2 linked regions of the Bombyx mori genome follow. Each later gene encodes a partner of the first gene's protein in a complex. Links are inferred from orthologs where the notes say so. Each region holds a gene or a part of one and is shown in the gene's direction. Other genes may lie near its edges. The genes, in order: NIF3-like protein and MIP18 family protein galla-2.

Region 1 (10,147 bases):
CTATTAAAAATCAATATATATCATATAATCAATACTTCTCATATAATTTATTTTAATAAATTGTCATCATCAGAAACTAATTTCACCATAACTTTGTACGTTTATTTTGGACCAATTCAATTTTTTACGTTGATGGAAATTCTAAATTCTCGCAACATTTTCTAGTTAAGTTTAAGTCAAAGTCACATCGTTTAAATAATATGTATTTAGATATATTATTGTCATAAAATGTTTAAAATCCTGTAAAGTGGATTGATTTTAACCTTTTCGATAATTTTCAACAACGCCCAAGCTACTAAAAAATCCACTAACCACTAAATGCCATTTTTTATAAGTAAGATAGGGGTCCAAATTACGAGATTTTGTGGAAAATCCTCTAAGCTAGCAACACTGCTTTTTGTTTGTAAAATGTGCGAGAGGGACACCACCACTTAATAATCATTCTCTTTTCAGACCGTTTTTCCTTACATCTTTTGCTATTTAAAAATAAACTTTAAGTCATAGAGATAAAGTATATTTTTTGTTTTTATGTCAAACGAAGTAAGCACTCCAGTTAGGATAGTAACTCTATGACTGAAAATTACAAATTTAAAATTACGAGTTACAAGCACAGAGCAAATACAAAACACATTTTTTTTGTAGGTAATTTTTCGGCCACTGGCTACAACACCTTATAGCTTCAGTTTTTTTTAAAATAAAATGCGTATATAGGTAATCATCTGTTAAGAGGTTGACCCCAACTGTTCTGGTGAAACCGGAAACAGCCGCAGACCATCTGTTATCTCTTCCTTCGAAATAAAATGAAATTACATTAGTTAAATGGTGGGAATTTACTTGTAGCTCAATGGGTTATTTGGAAATTTGGTTTTTTCCCACTTGTAACAATGCGTTTTAGATAGTGACAATTGTAACAATGCGTTATAGAATGTTTAATATGCCACCATCAATAAATGCTTAAATCTAAAAAAATACTTAATTCAAATAAAATTTCATCGCATTTTTGTCAATAGTCGCAATTTTATTTGTCCCTTAAATGTTATCTGGACATTTCTGGCCAATGGCCCTAAAGCCATTGACTTCCATTTTTTTGAAAAACCTTAAATGTCATATTTGACAAATATTCTACAGTGATTATTTCAAAAAAATTACATTTCTGAAACAATTTGTTTTCAAGAACTTCACTCTTCTCGAGTGGCAAACACGAAGTGAGTACATAACTTTACTAATTTATCTTGACTAATTTAATGAACAAAACGTATAAACAATAATACGTGTATTAAAAAATCAACATACTAACGTTTAAAATTTTCCAAAAAGATTCCACAATGACTTATTTGTATGTTTATACATAAATTAAGTGTTATAGTTCCTTAATAGCCGAATATTATGTAAATTTCCAGTTGACGTCATTATTATACAAAATAAGTAAATAGAATAAACGCTTAAAATGTTTAAACTGGAACTGATTCAAAATCTGGCCGGACACAAGGGTATAGTTTGGAATGTGTCGTGGCATCCACTTGGAAAATATTTTGCTTCTTGTGGTGAAGATAAAACTATAAAATTATGGAGTAAATATGGACAAGATTGGGCGATTAAGACTGTACTTGTCGATGGACATCAGAGAACAATTCGGGAAGTAGCCTGGTCACCCTGCGGTAATTTCCTCGCTTCAGCCAGTTTTGATGCGACTACTGCAATTTGGGATAAAAAAAGTGGTGTGTATTTTTCCCTTGTGACCCTGTGAAGAATTTGTACATCCAAAATTAAAATGAGTAACACTTTATAGGTGAATTCCAATGCAATGCAACTTTAGAAGGCCATGAAAATGAAGTTAAAAGTGTAGCATGGTCACCTTCAGGCCATCTCCTGGCTACTTGTGGAAGAGATAAGTCTGTTTGGGTGTGGGAAGTAGCTGGAGAAGATGAATACGAGTGTGAAGCTGTACTTAATGCTCACAATCAGGATGTGAAGAAAGTTAGTGCATGAATAAACAAAATTGAGTTTGTGTTTCTTACATATAATGAATGGATAAATTATATTATTTTCTTTATAGGTTGCATGGCATCCTTCTCTAGATATCTTAGCATCAGCATCTTATGATAACACAGTAAAACTGTACCAAGAAGATCCTGTAGATAATGATTGGACTTGTGTTGCCACTCTACATTCGCATGAGTCAACAGTTTGGAGTTTGGCATTTGATAAAACTGGAGAAAGACTGGCGACATGTAGTGACGATAGAACTGTAAAAATTTGGAAAGAATACAAACCTGATAATCAAGAAGGTGTTGTGGTGACTGATCGAGAGGCAGTCTGGAAATGCATATGTACACTCTCTGGATTTCACACACGATGTATTTATGATATTGCTTGGTGTCATAAAACTGACCTCATAGCTACTGCTTGTGGAGATGATATCATTAGAATATTTAAAGAGAGTGAAGATTCTGATCCTAATGCTCCCACTTTTGAACTTCTTTGTACAAAGAAAAATGCTCATTCTCAAGATGTAAACTGTGTAGCTTGGAATCCTTCAGGAAATCAAGAACTGCTTTCTTGTAGTGATGATGGAGAAATAAAAATATGGAAGTTTACAGAAGCTTAAAGTAACTAATTATTGACAGAAAGATCAAATAGAAATGATCAAAAAATCTAACAAGGAGTGATAATAATTTTATATTAAGGTTATGCCACAAGACATTAGCTGTGATTGTATCTAGCAAGATATAAATGTATTGTAAATACAGTATAAGTTTCAGTCTTTATAATAATTGTTGAAAACATGATTTAGTATTATTGTTCACGAACATAACCCAAATAACTAATAAAAAAAATAACAAAAAACATTATAACATAGATAAAATGTTTTGGTATACACTGCACTGGCTTGCTGATATAATCCATGGGCTTACATATTTTTTTTAAATATGAAAGCTTTGAAAATCTGACAATTATTATGAAATATCAACTTCTTTAGATCCAATCATTGAACTATACAAAATACCCACAGTCAGGTTTTTTTTGGTATAAGAAACGGTCTTATAATATGAATTAACAAAACACTAAAGTACTATATTATTACACAATATACCATATTAAACTATTACAAACCATATTAAAAATTAAAAGTGGCATTATAAAATTCCAATTTATAAATTAAACATCAGTTAATTGTTTTTATAATGGAGTAGTTAGTTTTAAAGATAAGGAAAAAGGAAATAAAGTTTGGATTAAAATAATGATGAAAAACAGCATTTATTATTTCACTGAATCTTTTCAAAATGCCTTTTGGTAAAATTTAATTTTTTAACAATGTTTTATTTCAAATTTATTAGTAAATTTTACATTTAAAAATTAAACTTTTTTCAGATATTACTAATGTTCTTTCAGTTAGGCAGGCACATTTTAAAGTCAAGAAATTCAAGGAATCACTTGTTCACACATTTTATCAAAATGTCAACTGAGAAATTCTGTGCAGTGTCTTTGGAAAGAGTAGTAACAGTACTTGAAAAATTTGCTCCAAAAGAATTGGCAGAGAGTTGGGATAACACTGGTTTGTTGGTGGAACCTTACACACCGAGGTATGAGCAAATTTATTCTTGACTACAAATACCCACTAGCAGTAACAAAAAAAAATGTTATTCATTTAAAATTATGTACTATTATAATAATTATATTAAGGTAGCTACTGCCTCACATAGAAACTGGTAATGACAGAGATGCTAAGCCTTACTGTGTATTGCTTTAGTCTTTAGACTTATTGTAGAGGATTACACAGAATTGGCCGTGTGGTGTCCGTGTGGTGTGGCCTCGATAAAGAATAATACCGGGCGACTAACGGGTTATCCAGAGAATGAGCGGCAACGTTCTCTGAGTATCATAACAGCATACTGCGATCGCCAACCCGCATGCCAAGCGTGGCGATTATGGAAACCCCTCCCAACATGTCTGACACAAATAAAAACCGCCCAGTCCTCGGCAGCTCCGCTATTCCTGGCTACAGTAGCGGTCAAGGTAACGGCGGGGCAGGGGGTGCTAAGAATCTCCGGCAGAGATCCGGCTACGTAAAAAACGACGATTGGACCTGGCAACATATAACGCGCGAACACTGCGGACCGATGAGAAGATTGTGGAACTCGAGGAGGAATTGAGCAGGTTACGGTGGGACATTGTGGGCTTATCTGAAGTCCGAAGAGAGGGAGAGGAAACGATAATTCTGAGGTCCGGTAACTTGTTCTATTTTCGGGAAGGTGATCATCTGTCTTAAGGTGGTGTCGGGATTATCGTCCACAAGTCCCCTATGAATAATGTGTTGTAAATCGAGAGTGTATCGACCAGAGTGGTTGTACCTTGTACTCAGAATCACCAAAAGGTATTCGTTGAAGATAATACAGGTTTACGCTCCGACTATGTAATAGGACATTTCCAGAGCCATGCATAGCTCTACAACTCACTTCACCATTGTCATGGGGGATATCAACGCCAGACTCGGTAAACGGTGCGAAGGGGAGCTGCGAGTAGGACCATTTGGATTTGGGCATCGAAATCACCAGGGAAACTTACTTGCCGATTTCATGGAGAAGAAAGAATTATTTATGATGACCTCTTCAGAAAACGGGGTCACAGGAAGTGGACCTGGATGAGCCCCAATAGCGCTATCAAAAATGAGATTGATTTTATTATGTCGCAGATTTTATTATGATGTCTCTGTGATCAATACGATTAAAACCGGAAGTGATCATCGGGTGGTAAGAGGCACAATGAACCTCAATAAACCTTGAGAGATTCCGAGTTATGAGGTCTACGCTCCGTTCAGCACCAGCTCAGATCCAAAGTTCTAGACACTTTCAGCTCGAACTTCAAAACCGCTTCGAGTGCCTAGGAGGCTCCGTGGACGATTACAATAACGGGTTTGTGAATGCTGTCCATACGATCGGTTCCAAGATTTTTGGAACCCGTCGTGCAAACAGAACCAAAAAACTCTCAGACCCTACTTTCAAACTCATGGAAGAACGTCGCGAGATGATTATGCAGTCTTGCAGAGATGTTATTTCTCCGAAACTATTTACCGCTGCGTTGGAAGACATTTTCAAAGTTCTGAACTGGAAAGGGCTAGCATAAACATCATCGGCGAGTACATAGTTCGCCGACGATATTGTGACTATGGCCGAGACCTTGGAGGACCTTAGTACAATGCTCAAAGACCTCAGTAGGGCTTCTATCCGAGTGGGCCTGAATATGAACATGGAAAAAACAAAAATTATGTTGAATGTTCATATAGCGCCCACTCCAGTAAAAATTGGAAGCTCTACGCTCGAAGTTGTTGACGAGTATATTTAACTGGGACACACTGTCCTGCTAAGTAAGTCCAACTTCGAAAAAGAGGTCAATCGTCGAATCCAGCTTGGATAGGCAGCGTTCGGAAAGCTACGTAAATCTTCTCATCACAAATACCACAGTGTCTCAAGACGAAAGTCTTTGATCAGTGTGTGTTGCTCTGAAATGTGGTTGCTCACAATGGCCCTTATGAGAAGGCTCAAGGTCACTCAAAGAGCAATGGAGAGGCTATGCTTGGAGTTTTCCTGCGAGATAAATCAGAAATGAGGAGATTCGCAGGAAAACCATGATAACCGACATAGCCCAAAGAATTGCGACGTTGAATTGGCAGTGGGCAAGGCACATTGCTCGTAGAACGGATGGCCGTTGGGGCCAGAAAGTTCTTGAGTGGCGACCGCGTACCGGAAGACGTAGCGTGGGCAAGCCTCCCGCAAGATAGAACGACGATCTATTGAGATTCGCGGGAATCTGCTGGATGCAGGCAGCGCAGGACCGGTCTTTGTGGCGAGACTTGGGGGAGCCCTGTGTCCAGTAGTGGACGTCTGTGGGCTGATAAGAAGAAGAAGACATAGAATTGATAGATAAGTCTTAAGTATTAAAGTTATGATTACCTTCATGCTTTGGGTTGAAATTGTATGTGCTTTGAAGTTTCAAATTATAAACTGTCAATTCAGCCGTATGTAGGGTATATAAAATATATAGGCTAAAGTGTCTCTTTGAATAAAGCCAATGATGACATTATTTGAGGATTACCAAACATGTTTGATTAAAACATGGGTATATAATTATTTTTCATATATAATTATATTATATTATTTCATTGAAAATTGGTTTTCTGTAATCAGCTAACCTATTCCTCGAAAACCTTTTTAATAAAAATAAATAAAATTACATGGCCAATGCCCATTGCACTTTTGCGAATCACAAGATTTAAAAAATACAGTCTATTCTCAAACACAACCAGTGTGGACTAAAAGTCACTCCCCTGTTATAGAAAGATCTATACAGAACACAAAGTGAGGATGCAACTATAATATGAGTTGATGATGTAGAAGTGGTACCAGCTAAAGTCAAATGCCTGTAAGTTCAGACATATAATCGCCAAACTTATAAAAATACTTTAAATAAATTTCCATTAGTTAATTTGACAAATTTAAATTAATTTTCTTTATGTTTTTAATTACCTATTTAAAATATAATATTTTTTTATAATTTTCAATTCCAGACAAATAACCAAAATTTTGTTAACTAACGACTTAACAGAAGATGTGGCCTTGGAAGCTGAAATTCTGGCGTGTGAGATGATTATTTCATATCATCCTCCGATATTTGCGCCTTTGAAGTCTATTGTTCAGCGGTAATTATTTATATAGTTCTAGTCACACGTCTTTGACGCTATTTATCACTTTGTCAGCATAGTATCCATATATTTTATATTATCAAATGAAAGTACAGTCAAACCTGGATAAGCGAGAGTTCAAGGGAGCACAATCTCATTCTCGCTTATAGAGGTTTCTCACTAACCCGAGTTTCTCGCTAATGCTCCCTCTGAATTTCGATTCGCGATTTTCCGCATTCAAATGCATTCACTATTTTAAGTTTATGACTTTAATGACAGTACTTTAATTTTCCGTTTTTACATGATGCAGAACAGAACTTTCCTTCGCAATTGATTAACGATAATCTGAGTAAGTCCGACAAACAGGACGGTACACAGGCACACGTGTCCATTCGAAAATAATGCGATAAAAGAATACGATAAAATAACAACGTTATTTAGTTTCACGAAATAGAATAGGTTCAATATTCACGAGAAAACAATACAAAAACAATGATAATAAGTTCCACGAAAGTTAAAAATGAGTCATAAAATAGCAAATGTTAAATTTGTAATTTGTTTTGTCATTTGTTCTTCCTAAATAATATAAATAAATAAATAAAGCTCGGCTGTCGCTTATAGAGGTATAGATAGGTAGCAGTCTCACTTACGGAGGTCCATGAGGAAAAAACGACTCTCTCTTACAGAGGTTTCTGTTTCTCGCTAATAGAGGTTTTGGGAGCTTAAAATGACGGGTCCTTGCTATTACTCTCACTTATAGAGTTTTCTTACTTATCCAGTTCTCAATTACCCAAGTTTGACTGTATTAGTTATGACTAAAATCACGGTGGACTATACGTCTGGGAATTGATTATTTAAATGCCAAAAAGCACGGTGGCAAAAGTGTACCGTCTGTAAAATTGTAAATCTGAAGGTTACCTATCCATATTAATATAATAAATATAAAAATGGTATACACATTGTGCGTAGAATAGAAAAGGACTGAGAATACCTTGTATTTAGACTTTTAGTGTACTATTCCCGAGGGATATTTTTTATACAATAACGCTAGCCGAAACTATTTTAATAGAATGTTATAATTATATTATATTATATTATATATTTATATTATATAACTGTTACAAGACTTTAGATCAAGTCTATTTACAACTTGGCGATTTCAAATATGTATTTTTTACAGTTCGTGGAAAGAACGGGTTGTATCTTATTTATTAGAAAAACGAATCGCCCTGTACTCGCCACATACTAGTTGGGATAGTGTGCAAGGCGGGGTCAATGACTGGTTGGCATCTGCTTTCTCTGTCGCAGAGTCTAAGCCAATTTTACAATCAAACAACCCCGACTTCGGAGCCGGCAGGTAAGCTATGTTAAAAGTTCGCCCAATTATAAGAATTTGATCGCAAACACTGACCTCATAATGTTTGCATTAATTAAATGTAATTATTATTGTATTATTGTAATAATTTATTATTAATATTTTTTTGATTTTCGTCGCTGTCAAACCAAAATCTTCTATGTGCAAAAACTCTATTTTGAATTAAGGAGTAAAAACATTTTCGTATAAAATTTTATAAGGTGATTTTTTAAGAACTATATCAAATGAAAGCTATATATAAAAATTAAAGCTATAGACACATAACTGTTTTTTTTATAAGGTATATTTTTTATAAAGATAAACTGTACGAAGATAGGCTGTAAACTATACGAAAATGTTAAAAAGTAAAAATCTCAAAAAGTGCACATAGCAGATTTTTGTTTGAAACGACGTTTTGCTATTTATATTTAAGTTTGAAAACCAGAGAAGAGAGTGCTACTTATCTGATTTGTTTGTTATAAATATTATGGATTCTAAGGAGTCTTTGAAATAATCGCCGTCTTCGGTATTTACCAAAGAGTTTCGGTTACAGCCGTCGCAACATTTAGCACGAGTACCCTTTACACGTTAGATCAGGAAGACATCGGCCCTAAATTAATTGAGAATATTTTTTTGTAGATTACTTCATTTGAGCACCGGAATCCCATTATCTGATGCAGTAAACAGAATTAAGGAACTTACACGACTCTCCCATGTCCGCATCGCTGCCGCAAAGGGAAAGTCTATGACGCACACCGTTCAGAGGGTAGCGTTATGTGCCGGATCCGGAAGTTCGGTATTAAAGGGAGTCGATGCTGATCTTTATTTGACAGGTAGTATATTATAGTATAATAAGCTGATAAATTCTATTAAATTGATTAATATTTCATATTATTAGATGAACATTTAAATCACTTTAAAACATCATGTATAGGGAGTAAGGTAGATTCTTTTCGAACGATCGTCATTATATTATGCAGGGTGGGAACACTGATAGGCGTCCAATAGGGAAAGAGGTGCTACCTGTAAGTCTGACTGATTTTGTTTCGATCAATAAGAAATGGATGATATTATTGGCTAAAGAAGTACCTGAAATTTCATTACAGTTTATTCAGATATTTCCTTTTTCGATAAGCATACTTTATTTAGTATTTTAACGAAAAACATGCAACAACATAATGTTATGTTATTCTATTTAATTAAAAATGTATTGTATAATATGTATACTTTTATGTCGTACATCTTATACTTACACATTAATGTTTTAAATTATATTAACTTGGACAAGAAGTACGTCAACGATATTTGGCCCCTAACAGAAGTACCATACCCGTCCCTCTGAGGATTATCTAAAATTTCATGCCTTAAAAAAAAGTAATATATACATATATATATATTTATTTTTATTTTTTATTGCTTAGATGAGTGGACGACCTCACAGCCCACCTGGTGTTAAGTGGTTACTGGAGCCCATCCACAGACATCCACAACGTAAATGCGCCACCCACCTTGAGATATAAGTTCTAAGGTCTCAGTATAGTTACAACAGCTGCTCCACCCTTCAAACCGAAACGCATTACTGCTTCACGGCAGAAATAGGCAGGGCGGTGGTACCCACCCGCGCGGACTCACAAGAGGTCCTACCACCAGTAATTACGCAAATATTATTATGATTATGTTACCTTTATACTTTATCGTATAAAAATATGATATAAATGAAACAACCAATAAAATCACTTGTTTTGGAGCTATTTCTGTGCCCAAACAAAAATATCAACTAAAGTGATGCTGACCTCTAAATGATGTATATTGAATTCTTTTTTTGCAGGCGAAATGCTTCATCACGACGTACTTGATGCAGCTCAAAAAGGTATAACAGTTATATTAACGAATCATTCGGACTCCGAAAGAGGGTTCTTGCGAGGATTTGCAAATTATTTACATAAAAATTTGAATGAAGAAGTTGAGGTTTTCGTAAGCAAAGTCGACAAAGATCCTTTGATAACTGTGTAAAAAGTCTGCTAGACGTACAAATGAAGATAAAATTAAATAGGTAGTTTTTGTAAGAAATAAAAGAAATATTAAATATAGTTATGTTTTATTTACCCAAATAC
Region 2 (9,972 bases), on another chromosome or scaffold:
TCCGGTGGCGGGCGGTGCGATGGTAAAAACGAGATGCCGGTATCATCTCGAACAATTCCTCAGAGCACTCCCCATGGAACATACGGTACAAAATGCAGAGGGAACCGAAGTCCCTCCGCAGACCCAGAGGCTCCAAACGATCCGTGAGAATGGGATTATCGACAATCCGAACGGCCCTCCTCTGTATGGAGTCAAATGGAAGAAGCTGGTATTTGGGAGCCCCGGCCCAGAGATGGGAGCAGTACTCCACGCGAGGCCGGACTTGTGCTTTATAAAGCAAAAGCCTTTGTCCAGGCGTGAAGTACCGCTTCGCTCTGTTGAGGACTCCCAGCATTTTGGACGCCAACTTGGCTTTGCCTTCCAGATGACTCCGAAACTGGACATCGCTCGAAATCTCGACCCCAAGTATCCCAATACTCTCGGAAGGTTGCAGGGATACTCCTTGGAATTGCGGCGCCATGACAAAGGGGTCCTTCTTCGCAGTGAACGCGCAAACTTGTGTCTTTATCGGGTTGAATTGAACCAAGTTCAATTCACCCCATTCGGAGACTCGCCTCAGAGAGTTCTCCACTTCAGACACAAGTTTAGATCGTCTCTCTTGCACCGCGCTCCGAGAGAGACTCTGATGGCCGATATATCGCGCATCCCCCGTGCTGTCATCCGCATAGCAATGCATGCCATCAATAGACAGCATGTCATTGATATACAGGATGAAAAGCGTGGGGGAGAGCACCGAACCTTGTGGAACGCCAGCGTTAATGGTCATGGTATCAGAGCAGTCACCGTCTACAACGACCATGATGCTCCGCCCATCCAAAAAGCTAGCGATCCACTTGCAGAGACCCTCGGGGATTCCGTAAGATGGTAGCTTCGACAGAAGTGCCCTATGCCAGACCCTGTCGAAGGCCTTCGCGATATCAAGGCTCACAGCAAGAGCCTCGCCCTTGCTCTCCAAGGCTTCAGCCCACCTGTGAGTAAGGTATACGAGAAGATCGCCAGCTGAGCGACCGTGACGGAAACCGTACTGTCGGTCACTGATCAGCTGGCGATCTTCAAGATACTTCAGGAGTTGTATATTTATTATTCGCTCCATCACCTTGGAAAGCAAGGAAGTTATCGCGATAGGCCTATAGCTCGATGGAAAGGAAAGCTTTTATTACTTAAAACTTTTTTTAAACTCTTTAAGTTTAAAAAAGTTACTTTAATTTTACTTTAGTTTAGTTACTTTAGTCTTTTACTAGTGGTCCCGCAGTAGTCGAAATTCGACAATAATTGATTAAAATTATAAGTTTGAACATTACTACGGTTCTATTGTCAAAGACTATTTATTATACTTCTAATCACAGACTTCGCCAAGACTACACTATAGACAAATAACATTAAAGAAAAACAATATTAATCTATTCTCAATTAGACCACAGACTTTAAACAATAAACAAAAGTTTGACAATAATATGTGTTGTCAAAGTTGTATTGTCAAAGTGTGTGTAATGTTTTATTTATTGATTTAGTGTATTTTTATGCATAATTTAGAAAAAAAATATTAACATTCTGCACTCCTTCTCTTTATTCTCTATAAGTGTGGGTAGTTTGAAAACTCCTCCGTCCGCGTGATTTTCGTAAAAAAAGGGGTAAAGTTTTTGCTTCACGTATTAATATTTCTTAGTATTATTACAGGAAAAGTAATTAAGTATTTTATTGTTCATTAATTCTGGAATATTCCGTATCATTACATAAATACCCGTGATTATCCCACCGGGATCCCGGTCACATTCCACCGGGCGAACGAGACTTGAGACTCACCTGTGGGGCTTAAAGAGGCGATCAGAGATGGTGGAAGCATCTTCGGCACCTCTAAGCCGCGCAGTTTCAAGTTTATAATCTGTAATGAACACACAATTTTACTGGTGGTAGGATGTCTTGTGAGTCCGCACGGGTAGGCACCACCACCCTACCTATTTCCGCCGTGAAGCAGTAATGCGTTTCGCATTGAAGGTTGGCGCAGCCGTTGTAACTATACTGAGACCTTAGAACTCATATCTCAAGGTTTGTGGTGGAATTTACGTTATAGATGTCCTATGAGCTCCAGTAACCATTTAACACCAGGTGGGCTGTGAGATTGTCCACTCATCTAAGCAATAAAAAAAAGATCACGGATAGAACATAAGGTGGCGTCCTATGTCTGTGTACGATAGAACATCGATTATGATCGAAAAAAAGGTTACTTTATTTGCAAAAATTTAAAAAAAGCTTCTATATAATAAATATATGTATATATAGTCCATAAGAACCGATGTTTTTTATATCGATGTTTCACTTTTGGAAATATCGATATCCTAACATCGTTATTTTTAATGAGCGATTTTTCAACCGGATACGGACGTTGGCACATTCGCAAATTATGAAGACTACACAGAAACTCACCTTGCAAGCTATAGAGAACTCCTTCAAATCCAGCTTACCGTCGGCGTTCGTGTCCGCCAGTGACCATATTTGTCCCAAGACCGGTGGAGGAAGCTGAGACTGTGAACAGAAAGACAAACAAAACTTATTTTAAACTAGCTGTGCCCGCGAATTCGTCTGCGTGGAATTAAAAAAATATTACTTTATTCTATAATAATGTTACGCCGATAAGAGCAACGCCATCTGTTGTCGAATGGCAGAAGTGAATATCAAAGGAACTAGTAAACTCGAGAACGCTCGGGAAGTACAACGCCATCTATTGTCAGATAACGGAAACAGATATCCACACGACTCGACTTGCCAGAAATCGGAACTACTCGAAGCGAAACAGCGAACGGATCACCTGAAGCGAAGCGGAAAAAGCGAATTACGAAGTATTTTAGGTGTTTAATTTGTACTGTGGTTGTATTTGTGGAAATTTTATTTATCCCGAACCCCAGCGTGTAAAAATAATTTTAGAATTTCTCTAAAATAGAAGTAGCCTAATTTACTCTTTATTCCATCTCGTGTGTTTAGTGCGAGTGTTTTAACGTTCTCGATCGCGTAAAAGTTAACTCAAATTTATATGAAACGAAATAAATATGAAAAAAAAAAATTGTTTGGAGTTGGAACGTTTGCCTACGTTGGTCGCTAGGGGCGCTGTTCCATATCCATACAAATTTGAGTTAACTTTAGGCAGCAGTAGGGCAGCGGCTTGGCTCTGCCCCTGGCATTGCTGAAGTCCATGGGCGACGGTAACCACTCACCATCAGGTGGGCCGTATGCCCATCTGCCTACAAGGACAATAAAAAAAAAAAGTTCTAGATTTATAATAAATACGCAAATTAACTGACCTGTAACATGAATCTTTTAGCTTGTTCGCCCGTCAAATTTCCATTGACAGGTCCAAGGTTTCTAAAGTGCTCCGAGAACTTCGCATGCTCATGTGCTTGTATAGTCCACGGGTCCGCCATCATTTCTGAATTAAAGACGTTTCTTTGAACCTAAAAAAAGATATACCTCTTAGTATGTATGCAGTCTTCATTACAGGAAGCCTAAATTTATAATCATAGAAAAATCCTAATCCTTTTTCATTGTTTAATTTTCAACATTTTGATTGACATTAATGCAGTAATTTTGAGAATATTTTAATTTGGCATTGTATATTTAATGTTGTCTTTGGAAATCAAACAATGCTTCCTTTGGGAAGTTAATATTAGAACAGGTGAATATATCTATATTAAGTTATAATATTGAACTAGATAAACCATCAGATAATATCTTATTATGAGCATGTTTCTGCATATCTTGGTTTATCAAATTTAAAAAAAGAAATGCATATCACGGTTTAAGGTTTATGTTGTACTATTAAAAAAATTTGTTTGATTTTAAACAATAGACATTGCAACATGTTTTTGTTAACTTTTTCCCGACAATCAGGAGCGGTGTCTTTAGCCAAATTGTATGAATAGAATGTCTCCAATATGGTAGGTCATGATAAAGTACGAAAAAGCCTTGATTAATCAAGTGAAAAGTAGACTTCTAAATTTTTCCTATATTTTATCACTTCTCTAAATCTATTAAAGATGTACCTAAGTTCTATTTAAAATATTTGCTCGACGTACAGACGTGTGTCACATACAATAAGTAACTCAACATACAATAAGTATTAGAATACTACAATTGGTAGAGCAGTTCAAGATAATGTTCTTAATTTTTTAATATTGCTAGCTCGTTGTTTTATAACTCCGTGACCCGGATAAAGTTTAAAGATACCTTAAGCACTAATATTCAATACATTTTTTTGTTAAAATCAACGTTGTTCAATAAATTAATAATAAGTACTACTACTCTTTTGGTACCAACAGGCAGGGGGTGTGTCTGCGAACTAAAACAAATATTTAGGAATTAAATTCTAGGGAATTACATAATGTATTACTTACTTTAACTGTTGTTTGACCTAAGAGAATAGATTTAAGACTGATCCTCCTGAAAAAGGATCGAGTAAAACCCCTCAAAGTTCTAGATAAAGTATTGATTTTTTGATTGGGTGCAACTGTCAAAATCGAAATTTGGTTTTTGACAGTTAATTTTTTTATTGTGGCTCGCTCGGTTTGTGCATTAGCCAGTGTCAATTATTAATTATTTTGCCGTTTATAAATAATAAAAAACGAAGGAAACTGTCTATGTTGGCCATTATTATTCTGTGTAAGTAGATATGAATTACATTAGCAGCGTCTGTCATTTTTCATAAAATTAAGAATATAAACTAAAATAAGATATGACTTAAAGATCTTAGTTACCATGTCATAAAATTCCTAAAAAAAAGAGATAGAGATAGAAGTGAGTTATTATTTTGAGTAGAAAGGCTGTATGGGCTTAGATCCCCTTGCCTTTCATAATAAGGAAAAATTGTACCAAAAAATATATTTTGAGTAGAACGAATTGATATAATAAAAAGTTCGAACTTATAAAATGACCAAAACAGCGGATAACATCAACCCTCACATTTACGAGAAGGGTTCAGAACGGGAGATCACTTCTTCGGAACGCGACGAAGACTTGCAAGATGAATTTGATGATCGCGAAATATTTGATTTAATACGAAATATAAATGATCCTGAACACCCATTGACACTCGAGGAGCTCAGGGTGGTGGAAGAGAAGAATATAATCGTTAATAACGATGATAGTACTGTATTAGTCAATTTTACACCGACAATTCCCCATTGCAGTATGGCGACTCTGATAGGTACGTACTTTTTTTAGCATTAAAACCTATAGTTAATGAGAGAGTAACACACACATAACCAACGCACACCGATAATGGTGGAACAGCCAATATTTCTAAATTAATATTATCATACTAATGTTTTTTTATTGGCAAGCAAATAAACATTCATGCCCAGCCAACGAACAGCTTCCTTTTTTTAATTGCGTGGGTAGACGATCATACAGCCCGCTTGGTGGGGAGTAGCTACAGTCCCTCATGGAAGGTAGCAATTTCAGGGGTGCAACTAAAGTGCAGTCTACCGCTGACCATTTTCAATGGATTGATAATGGGTTACCGTAAACTCTTATCTCTCATCTCTCATCTTAGGCAGTTGAAAAGATCTCGCCAGTTATATTTCAAAATTGTCACCTCTCTTTCGGCCAATATGATCGAAGAACTCAAATATCTTCCTGAAGCAGACGATAGAAAGCCTTTGGATATTGAGCTGTTTTAATATGGATGCGTTAGTCTGATATTTTGTCCACGGAATAGTCACTACTGTCTAGCCTATTCCCAATTTGAACCATTATTGTTTTTGCTTAAGAGAGAGTAATTTTAAAATAGGGCTCAAACTTCGAGTTGCTCAAACTTCGAGTTCAGGACTCAAGATGGGTGGCAGTTGTCCCAATGTGATGTCCACGGACATCTGTAATGGCTATAAACTATGAGAGCTGTGAGCTTGTTCATTCCCCTAGTGCAGTTAAACACTTTTGTAGATAATCTGTTCTGTTATAGTTCTAATTAAAGTTGTGAAGCTTCCGGAAAAAAGTACTGCAAGCTTAATTAATGAGATTTGATTTTTATTTCAGGTCTTTCAATACGAGTTCAACTACTCCGAGCTCTGCCAAGCCGTTTCAAAGTGACCGTACAAGTATCGGAGGGCTCTCACGCTTCCGAACATGCGGTCAACAAACAGTTAGCGGACAAGGAAAGAGTTGCTGCAGCTTTAGAGAACAATAATCTACTGCAAATCATCAATCAATGCATAGCTGTTTAATTGATAGGGATAAATTTATTTGTAAGCCAGATTATCAGTGGCTTTGGTCCAAAGAATGCTGGTACGGCATCTGATTCACTTGCATATACATTTGAGGTTATAGACGTATCATTCAATTATCGATCTTAAAATATGATGCCTATGACTTCATTGGTCACTTGCTGGTACCTGTTTTGAAGGAGACAGCTTATATTATTTATTATTGCTTATAAATACTTGAATGCTTAATGGGTTCCTGTAGGACCTCTTGTGAGTCCGCGCGGGTGGGTACCACCGCCCCGCCTATTTCTGCCGTGAAGCAGTAATGCGTTTCGGTTTGAAAGGTGGGGCAGCCGTTGTAACTATACTGAGATCTTAGAACTTATATCTGAAGGTGTGTGGCGCATTTACATTGTAGATGTTCCAGTAACCACTTAACACCAGGTGGGCTGTGAGCTCGTCCACACATCTAGGCAATAAGAGATAAATAAACATTAAATACCTATTTATTTTGTATTTTAGCAGGAAATAAAAGGCTTTCTATTTTATATTTATTTATTGCTCATATGGGTCAAACTTGCCGGCAATGGTATTTAATCTGTCACTAGAGCCCAGGGAAATCATGAAAGTGAAATTCATTACTGCTTGACGTCAGAAAAATATAGTGATCTAGACTTGCAATTGTGTTTTTTTTTTTTTTTTGTCCTACCACCATTAATATTTAGACCTTGTGTTCCATGAATAATGATAATATACACTATGTTTTCAATGTGCTCTGATATCTGTCTACTGGATAATAAAAGTTGATAGCCTAAATAATCATAGAAAAAAAAATGTATATTTTTAGTGAATTTATGTAAAAATATTTTGTATAGTTAATAAATAAATAAATTATGTATGTGGTTTGTTATTTACTGCTCGTATTCGCGGGAAATTTGCACTCAAAAAGTCAAACTCTTATTTTATAAACACTTATATTTTTGTGGTATTCGGATTTTAACAAGAAAACTGAGAAAACTAAGCTAGGAACTAGATCAGCCTTTCTCAAAGTGGGCGATAACGCCCGCTTGTCGCTGTAGGCATAAAGGATGGTAAGAGACCCAGAAAAAAAATGGGGGCGTTGTGTAGAGGCTTGGGAAGCGATTTGTAATTTCGTCTTGGAGGACTTAGACAACGACCGAGGTCTTTCTATAGTGGTTAAGTAGGTGAAAAAACGGGGGCGCTAAAAAATAATTTATTCTCAAAGTGTACTGTAGACAAAATATGTTTGAGAACCCCTGGACTAGACGATACTAATTATATTAATATTATGTATACGAAGATATTATTTTTATTTTAAATGCTAAATCGGCGCGAGAATGACTGACGTCAGGTGACACCTGCGCGTTCAGGAATAAAATTTCGATCGTGCCCAATGACTAGGGTTATAGTATAGTATGTTATTTCGGATAATTTTGGCCTATACTTTATGTGAACAATTACGAACAATACTGGTGTTAGGACCTCTTGTGAGTCCGCGCGGGTAGGCACCACCACCCTGCCTATTTCTGCCGTGCAGCTGTAATGCGTTTCAGTTTGAAGGGTGGGGCAGCCGTTGTAACTATACTTGAGACCTTAGAACTTATATCTCAAGATAGGTGGCGACATTTACCGCTCCGGTAACCACTTAACACCAGGTGGGCCGTGAACTCGTACACCCACCTAAGCAATAAATTAATAAAAAGTTGCCCGAGCGCCTCCGAAGGAGACCTAACAACTCAAGAGCAGCTGCTCCGCGAATGCATCTACTACCGGATCGGAATCGCGACCCGCTCAAAATATACAGCGAGAAACTCAGCTGGGCTGGTGTATGGATATGGATTAGGTTGCGCAGTTACCAGAGCCCCTAAACCTGCTGCTAATGTTAGAGCTAAAGGCGTCTAATGCAAGGGTTATTGGATCTGATGGATCCGTAAGGACGCGTCTAGGGCGTCGACGGTGACTGGCTCCTGCATAATCAGCATTCGGGAAGCAGTCAGCGGCGGTCACGATTGGGCGATTAACATGACGCATAGCTTCATCGAAGTGCAGTTCCGACGCTGACTTCATGTTTTCGAATCGTTACGAGGTCCAGGTCGTCGTGTATCTCGGCGTTCCTTACTAACCAAGCAATATGTCTGTGTGCTTAGTGCGAGTTTTTTAACGTTCTCGATAGCGTAAAAGTTAACTCATATTTGTATGGAATGGGATCGTTTGCCTATGTTTGCCGCTATGTGGGGCGCTGTTCCAAATGCATACAAAATTGGGCCAACTTTTACGCTATCGAGAACTTTAATAGACTCGCACTAAGCACACTGAAGTAGATACGACTTTTTTTTTTGTTGCCCTTGTAGGCAGACGAGCACACGGCCCACATGATGGTGAGTAGTTACCGTCGCCCATGGACTTCAGCAATGCCAGGGGCAGAGCCAAGCCGCTGCCTACCGAGTCCGAGCCCTACGTAAGAAAACCACAATATACTTAGGACATTAATCAGTTTATTTCATTTCACACAACACAGTGATATTTTTCGTTTACATAAATTATCAATTTTCACAATCTTAATGTTACATATTCTTATATACAAACATCGATCGAACATAATACATTCTCCTTTAGATGTCATAGTGCCTAGACAACACATTAGATGTAAAAATTTTAGATGACATTTATCTTCGCACGTACCTACCTAATAATAGCAAGTGTTTGTGCTATTAAAAACTTGCAGTCGTAAATAAGACGCTAGTAGGATTATTCATTTAGTAAATTAATTGAAATAGATAAGAAATACGAATCGCAATGTGTCGCGTATCTATGGCAAAATGTTCCAAATTGTTTTTTTTTTTTGCTTTTTGTAATGACATTGTTGCCAGCGTCGAGTTTATAATATGATATCCACATAATTATCATGTCATATTTTTAATTGAACTTCAACTTAGTTTACTCCATTCAAAAGCTGAAGTTTTTTTTTTTGTTAAAATCATTTTTCCAAATTGTAAACTCTATAAGGGTCTCCTGTGAAGTTGCAATAATGTCGCTTACACATTATATAATGAAATAAATCAAATGTTAATGATTTATCTAAAATTTCGCATTGAAATTAGTCTTAAAGTAAAATGATAGGAATTTACTGAGATTTCGTTATTTATTTTTTGTAGGACCCGATCTACAATACACGTCCAGCGATTTTTTTTAATTTCCCCGAATTTGTGCCCTTTCACCGACGCTAACTGATAAATAAACCATTATCATTATTGCACGCTCACACAAGAATAAAGAAGAGAGAAAGTGGCACCTGTGACAGAGAAGCCGAGGAGTGCGCGCTTGGGATGATATGGACATGTGATGAGACCAAATGAAAATGATGTTGTTAAGAGAGTGTTAACTATGAATGTGGAAGGATTTAGAGGAAGAGGTAGACCTAAGAAGAAATGGATGGATTGCGTGAAAGACGATATGGGTAGGAGGGGAGTGAGCGAAGAAATGGTATATGATAGAAGAGTATGGAAGGAGAAAACATGTTGCACCGACCCCATGTGACTGGGAGAAGGGCAGGAGAATGATGACACACGAATAGAGACTACTTATATATTATTAAAATAAAACAATTCACGCAACTTATTATCTGCACGCGTTCTCGCCAAAAGGTATCTGATTCGTAATTAGAAACATAAATAAGTGAGATTCTTGTCAGTGATAACAAGAACTCATTATTTGCATTCAATCCACAAAAGAAATTATATTAATTAACAATTATTGCCCG

Evidence for each region.
Region 2: the proteins of NIF3-like protein (region 1) and MIP18 family protein galla-2 are in contact, whole or in part, in a crystal structure (PDB 6TBN), measured with the Drosophila melanogaster proteins. The link is inferred for Bombyx mori from reciprocal best matches to the Drosophila melanogaster genes Ciao1 and galla-2. Residues at the interface, in NP_610996.1 of Drosophila melanogaster: Arg16, Trp18, Arg60, Thr61, Arg63, Phe79, Glu105, Lys107, Arg123, Asp150, Lys152, Tyr168, Asn170, Ser195, Thr196, Trp198, Thr216, Ser248, Gly249, Gln250, His251, Ser252, Arg253, Tyr256, Gly272, Asp273, Asp274, Arg277, Glu299, Gln304; in NP_648416.1 of Drosophila melanogaster: Ser74, Pro106, Lys109, Thr111, Ala124, Lys127, Gln128, Asp131, Lys132, Glu133, Arg134, Ala136, Ala137, Glu140.

Annotation. Positions count from the first base shown.
Region 1 is NC_085116.1:9,597,408-9,607,554, reverse strand, and holds NIF3-like protein, read left to right. Parts: upstream 1-3,456; coding exon 3,457-3,584; intron 3,585-6,565; coding exon 6,566-6,697; intron 6,698-7,859; coding exon 7,860-8,036; intron 8,037-8,672; coding exon 8,673-8,866; intron 8,867-9,861; coding exon 9,862-10,046; downstream 10,047-10,147. UniProt on the Drosophila melanogaster protein: Essential component of the cytosolic iron-sulfur (Fe/S) protein assembly machinery. Required for the maturation of extramitochondrial Fe/S proteins.
Region 2 is NC_085117.1:632,853-642,824, forward strand, and holds MIP18 family protein galla-2, read left to right. Parts: upstream 1-4,792; 5' UTR 4,793-4,917; coding exon 4,918-5,194; intron 5,195-6,024; coding exon 6,025-6,212; 3' UTR 6,213-7,089; downstream 7,090-9,972. Other genes in the region: intersectin-1, read right to left, coding at 1,804-1,882, 2,425-2,523, 3,297-3,419. UniProt on the Drosophila melanogaster protein: Component of the crb-galla-Xpd (CGX) complex which is essential for proper mitotic chromosome segregation in early embryos. The CGX complex is also required for cell proliferation in developing wing disks.